2 linked regions of the Macaca fascicularis genome follow. The protein of the gene in region 2 purifies or fractionates together with the protein of the main gene of each other region. This does not show direct contact. Links are inferred from orthologs where the notes say so. Each region holds a gene or a part of one and is shown on either strand. Other genes may lie near its edges.

Region 1 (3,279 bases), on a different chromosome or scaffold from region 2:
TGTGAAGAGAAAAAATCTGCTTTTGGCAACTTAATCAATTTTGCATAGCACTTTGTTTCCATGTGTTTTGCATTGAACTTTAAACTTGTATGTTGAGAGTTTGTATACAGAGTAATGGGATGGGAGAAAATAAGTGTGAAGCACCACAGGGGAATAGAAAAGTTTAGAAGTATTTAGTAACAATTTTAGCCTCCAGGAGAACAGTATCCTGTCTCACTTCCTAGGTGTTGCTTAGCTAGATTTTAGTCAGGTACTAGTGTACCAGCCAGTATCACACCAGGCTGTTCAGGAGTTCGAGACCAGCCTGGGAAACATAGCTAGACTCCATCTTTACCAAAAAATTAGCCGGGCATTGTGGCATGCAACTGTGGTCCCAGCTACCCGTGAGACTGAGGTGGGAGGATTGCTTGAGCCCAGGAGGTCGAGGCTGCAGTGAGCTGCAGTCGCACCACTGCACTCTGTATAGTCTGGGTGACAGAGTGAGACCCTGTCTCAAAAAAAACCCAGCAAAACAGGCTGTTAATCTGCCTTGGCTTTTCATAAAAGCCTTGGCATGGATTGGCATTTTCAAGGTGCTCTTTTTCAAAAAACCCATATTTCTTTCTCTCAGTGCATTAAAATTACTGCCTAGTTATGACCGTAGCATTGAGGAAGTATTTATTGTCTCTGGGCTCTTAAATGCCCATCCTAAGATATTTTTAGGTTGAATTAAACCCTTTATCTTTAAATTGGTTTTCTTGGCAGAGGTAATAGCTCCCACTTTTACTTACCCATATTCATGGCTTGAAGAGGAAGACATCAAGAAACTCAAGAAAGCATGAGAAAAGGGAAGAACAGAATTAGGAATGACATTGCCACCTACCATGAGTTGGTGGTGAAGTCCTTAGCAGTTTTTAAGTACTTTGCCAGTGTCTGAAATTTACTTGGACTTTTTATTAGATATTAGTTGCTGTAGGACTTTATTTGGAGAGGAATAGTCAGCTTTTTAGTATTAATTTCTTAATTTTCATTTTGCCATTGAAATGTAATTCCCAAGTCCAGAAGTCATGATTTTTATTAGGGAAGAAGGTTCTGTCAGTTGTAGAAATCTAGACAATATTAATCATTTTTGACATTTGATAGGTCACATTGTTATGTGAGCGTGTATACATGTACATGTGCCCACATATTTAATGCATCTGCATTTATAACTGTTGTTGTGCTAAGCTGATTACTCAGTTTCTTATATAGAGGAATGTATTTCAATGCAATGTTGTATATTAATGGAGGTCAGTAACTTCAACTGTAGCAGGCTGGTGGCTGTCAGAAGCATTACCCAGTTGTGTCTGATAGGGCACAGCCAACAGGCTTGTATTGCCCAAGGGAGCACTCGGTGAGGTGTCAGTACCCCTCATATCGCTGATTCTAGATAACTTCCCATTGAAAAATTGAAGAGATGTGAATGTGTAACTTTTTGCTTTGCTCTTTGTTTTAAAGGAGATGCAAGCAAAGCTCGCAGCGCAAAAATTAGCTGAAAGACTGAATATTAAAATGCGGAGTTATAATCCAGAAGGGGAGTCTTCAGGGAGATACCGAGAAGTAAGGGATGAAGATGACGATTGGTCCTCTGATGAATTCTGAAGATAATCTCCTAAATCACTGACGTTGAGGTGTCATCATCTTACATTAGACTTTCTAACTAGTATCAAGATCAGTGTCAGATATTGTTGAGGAAGTAATTTTATAAAGTTACACAAAGGTAGTTATTAAAAAAAATCCCAGTTTGTCTTTCAGAAGATGACTTTCATGTGCTTGAAAAGTTTAATTTTTGAATATTGTGTTTAACCACATGGTATTAAAATTTTGCAATATATTGTGTATTGGTCTGATATTTTAGTATATAGTAGAACATACTTTTTTTCTTTAAGCCAAATGAAAAGAGAGAACTTTGCTTTTTTCCTTATTCTTAACTATCAAATAGCATTTATTACATGTCTTTCAGTGAAATACTTAGTTCCAGGCACCCAAAATCAATTAGGAAGACATAGTTCCCTTCTCTTTTGGGTAATGAAGGGAGCAGTCTAAAGAATTGTATGCATGTTTGCATGGGGTTATTGAGACATTGGATGTGAAATACTTAGGAAGACATGCATGGAGAATGCTTAACAAATGCTCTTCTCCTTTTTCTGTCTTCCCTTAGGAAGAATGTTCTCTCTCTTCTGATTAGGAAGGAATTCCCTTTTGAGTAGATGCTGGAAGGTGGAAGTTTTTTTTTTTGTTTGTTTGTTTGGTTTGGGTTTTTTTTTTTTTTTAGAGTCTTGCTCTGTCGCCCAGGCTGGAGTGCAATGGGGCACTATCTTGGCTCACTGCAATCTAGGTGGAGGTCTTTTTAAATAACCTCATGTTACTTCAGGCAAATCTGGTACAGGAAAAGTCCAGGCTAACTGAGCTAGGTGAAGGCTTGTGCATCACCTGGCTTGAGTTCCTTGCTGTCACAGATGATAGGTTCATGTACAGAACATTAATGTTTGGTAAGGAAAGCATTTTTTTTGTTATTGTTGTTACAATTGTCAGTACTTTACTTTTTTCCCCCCAAAGAGGCAGATATAGACTGCAGAAACTTCAGTCTCATATATAAATGTTCATGTCATTTTAGAGGATTATATGGTTGTCTCCAGAGAAATTAACTTACATTATCAAAAAATTCTTTGTCTAATGTATTGGAGTCTTTAAAAGTGTTGAAGAATAAAATATTAATTAGAACAACTTCAAATGCTAATGGTGATGTTTTACTGGGACTTAATTAAATACTTTTACTTTTGAAAAAGACTATTCACATTTGCTTCCAGGTGTAGTTATTGCTTTCAGTCCTCACCCACCTCAAGCAAATGTGAAAAGTATACTGACCTAAGAGTCTCATTAGTTTTAGTTCTTAAAACTAATAGTAAATGATTTTGCAGCATAAAATTTGATGTTATTTGTGGAAAGCTGGATGATATGGAAGAGTTCATGTGCCTGCACACACAGTTCCCTGTAATCCTGCCACCTAGGGAGATAACCTCTGTTAACATTTTGATGTTGTGGTTTTACTTATTTTTCTAATCATAGTTATACATTTATTTTCTCAAAAATGCAATCATAATGTACATTGCTTTGTGGTCTGCTCTATGTATTGTCAACATTTTCCCATATTAAGTATCTTGCTTTTTAGATAGCTGTAGGATATTTTATTTCATGGATATACCATAACTTTAAGACTGATTCCCTATTCAGCAATTTGATTATTTATTATAATGTAAT
Region 2 (3,656 bases):
GTGTTAGCCAGGATGGTCTCGATCTCCCGACCTCGTGATCCGCCCATCTCAGCCTCCCAAAGTGCTGGGATTACAGGCTTGAGCCACCCCGCCCGGCCTGTAATGATTTTTTTTAAATTATTATTTTATTTTTATTTTTGGAGACAGAGTCTTGCTCTGTCACCCAGGCTGGAGTGTAACAGAGCAATCTCTGCTCATTGCAGCCTCTGCCTCCCAGGTTCAAGCAATTCTCATGCCTCAGCTTCCCGAGTAGCTGGGACTACAGGTGCATGCCACCATGCCTGGTTGATTTTTTTTATTTTTAGCAGAGACATGGTTTCACCATGTTGGCCAGGCTGGTCTTGAACTCCTGACCTCAAGTAATCCGCCTGCCTCGGCCTCCCAAAGTGCTGGGATTACAGGCATGAGCTACTAGGCCCGGCCTTATTATAATGATTTTTTAAAAACCCATCCTAATCCCAAAGCACTTCAATATCCTCCAAAATCCTCCAAAATATAAAAGAATCTATTAGCGGTATATCACATTTTATTAATGAATCTCTGAATTCAAAGGATAAATCCCAGATGCTTATTCCCTTTTTAAAAGTATTCTCAGCTTTATAAAAAGATCCCCAAAAGAATTTTTACTTTAAAATATAATTTGAGTTCTAAAATATAATTTAATAATTTAAAATGTGTCAAAATTTTTGGAAGCATGTATCCAAAGATTAAGGCAAGCAATGTTTTTTTTTTTTTGAGACAGAGTCTCGCTCTGTGGCCAGGCTGGAGTGCAGTGGCGTGACCTTGGCTCACTGCAACCTCCGCCTCCTGGGTTCAAGCAATTCTCCTGCTTCAGCTTCCTGAGTAGCTGGGACTATAGGTGCGCATGACCACGCCCAGCTAATTTTTGTATTTTCAGTAGAGACGGGGTTTCACCATGTTGGCCAGAATGGTCTCAATCTCTTGACCTTGTGATCCGCCCTCCTCAGCCTCCCAAAGTGCTGGGATTACAGGCATAAGCCACCATGCCCAGGCTTTTTTTTATTTTTTGAGACAGAGTCCCACTCTGTCACCCAGGCTGGAGTACAGTGGTGCGATCTCACCTCACTGTAACCCCCACCTCCTGGGTTCAAGTGATTCTCCTGTCTCAGCCTCCCCAGTAGCTGCGATTACAGGCCCGTGCCACCATGCCTGACTAATTGTTGTATTTTTAGTAGAGATGAGGTTTCACCATATTGGCCAGGCTGTGCTTGAACTCCTGACCTCAGGTGATCTACCTGCCTCAGCCTCCCAAAGTGCTGGGATTACAGGCATGAGCCACTGTGCCCGGCCTAGCAATAACTTATAATTAAATTTACACTTTACAGTTCAAGGAAATAAAGTTCAAAGAAAAGATGCCAATGCAAAGATAACTTTCACTAGTCGTATGCCTTGTTTAAAAATCTCACAGACCACACCCTCTTAACTAAAGATTCTTACTTCAGACACAATGATGTCCATCTGACGTCGCAATTTCCTTAGGGTGTTCATAAGTTGTTCAGGATCTTTATGTATTCCAACCCAGCAGCCATTAACAAAAATCTTGGTTGCACTACAAAAGAAAAAGCAAAAGCATTTTATGCTTAACAATTCTATACCAAGCAACAACTAAAGATTAACCACAGTTTAAAAAGCTAATTCCATCTATACACACTCAGCAATAGCTGCAGGAGAAATTTCTTCTAAGTTTTCCATACTCCATTCTTCTAAAAATTCCAGAATTGGAGATGGTTGAGATCCAACTGAAATATATGCCATCAACGCTAAATTCTTCACAAGTCCTACAGCATGGCCCTAAAAAATAAACCAAGTATTAGTCATTCTGATTTTGCATGCCTATCAGACTTCTTTTCCATAAACATTTTTCCTTCAATGTGATTTCAAGATTTATTCTTTCTAAGAATACAATTATTAAAAAAATCTTATTTCTAAACCACTCTGCATAATTTTTTAAACATCTACTTCTAAAAGCAATTATGCCCTACATAATTACTCACTGACTTTTTGTCCTGAATATAAATTCTAATGTATTACCTCTGGGGTCTCGGCAGGACACACCATCCCCCACAACGTATTATGCAACTGTCTTGGTTTTGCTAGCTTGCCATCTCTACCAATAGGAGAATTTAAACGACGCAGGTGAGAAAGAGTAGATGCAAAAGTCAGGCGGTTTAATACCTAGAAAAAAATAACCAATCTTTAAAGTCTGGACATTTCTGTGATTCATAGTATTACACTGAGGCAAAGTCAAGTTTTACACATAATCTACTGAGTATCAAACTGTTCCCCATTTCTCTATTCTTTCCCTGAATAATGTTGTTTAACACCTTAACTTACCTGCCACTTGCAGCAGGGATGGCAAATACATTCTAACATACCACATAAACATTCTGTGTATGGTCTCCAAACAAACACTAGGACATTAGTTTCATGAAGGCAGGGAATTTTTAAAATTGTTTTATTCTCTGTTGTATCCCAGCACCTAAAACAGTACTTGGCATTCATTAGATATTCAATAAGTGTTAAGTTAAATTCTACCAACTCACACTCCTTTGATCATAGCAGACATCACTAATTCATCTCATTACTTTTTCCAGACTGAGGCCTCTGAATCTAATAGAAAAATGCAAACATCCATTACCAATACTTACAGGATACTAACCAAGATGTTATTTATAAATAAGATAATATTTAGGGCAACATAAAGCAGACAACTCAAGCTCTGTATTATTAATTATTTATAAATCTCCATCTTCCCCTAGTCCTTAAATAACTCAAACCTCCTTCCTCTTTCCTAAGTCTTCTGTCATGGATAAGCAGCATCACCTTTCTCTCAATCTGGAAATCTCAAAATCATTTTTGTCTACAAGTTCCTCCTTCCACACATCTATAAACATACCCTGTCAATTCTATTTTCAAATTTTCTAAAAAACCTAGCCCCTCCCTTCCCAATGTCACAGTAATAGACCAGCCCATTTCCCCTCATCTATACTACGTCCATCAGCTCTGCCTGGTTCCCTCCAATCCCTGCCTGGTTCCCTCCAATCTACCTTCCTCACTTGCCAGAATTATTAAACACTTACCCACTTAAAAATTAAACAGATAGCCACTGGCTACTGAAGAGCACAACACTGAAGTCCTCCTCAATGAAGCCCCAAAAACGACCTTCCCTTTAGTCTCCTTACACTCCTGTACTCAACTGACATCACCACACACCCTCACCTCCATGCCTTTGACCATGCTATTGCCACAGAATGAAATGCCCTTCTCCACTCTGCTCTGCCTGGTGAAATGATACCACCTCTACAAAGCCATCTGACCCACCTCCAGGAAGAACTATTCTCTTTTCTGTACTCATTGGAGTTTTCAACCGTTCAACGAAATCAATCACAAAGTCTTATGAAACTTACTTCCTAAATATTTCTAAAATTTACTCTCCATCTCTATAAAACTGCTCTAGTCCAGTCCCTAATTATTTCTCACCCCAGGCTGTTGCAACAATCTTCCTGCCACCAACCTTGCCCTTCTCAAGTCTTTTCTCCACACTGCCAATTACTGTGAATCTGTCCGAAAGAACAAAAATGACCACGTCACTCCTCTTCATGAGTTGGTTCCCATCCTCCTAAGCCTCCACTTTG

What was found. The genes of interacting proteins can lie anywhere in the genome.
Region 1: the proteins of POLR2B (region 2) and POLR2M purify together in Homo sapiens (affinity purification with mass spectrometry; 3 studies listed by BioGRID and IntAct, counting the BioPlex papers as one, with this or other methods). This does not show direct contact. The link is inferred for Macaca fascicularis from reciprocal best matches to the Homo sapiens genes POLR2B and POLR2M.

The regions. Positions count from the first base shown.
Region 1 is NC_088381.1:34,173,180-34,176,458, forward strand, and holds the end of POLR2M (protein GRINL1A), read left to right. Parts: intron 1-1,476; coding exon 1,477-1,620; 3' UTR 1,621-2,752; downstream 2,753-3,279.
Region 2 is NC_088379.1:76,866,601-76,870,256, forward strand, and holds part of POLR2B (DNA-directed RNA polymerase II subunit RPB2), read right to left. Parts: intron 2,197-3,656; coding exon 2,053-2,196; intron 1,813-2,052; coding exon 1,673-1,812; intron 1,571-1,672; coding exon 1,459-1,570; intron 1-1,458. UniProt on the Homo sapiens protein: Catalytic core component of RNA polymerase II (Pol II), a DNA-dependent RNA polymerase which synthesizes mRNA precursors and many functional non-coding RNAs using the four ribonucleoside triphosphates as substrates.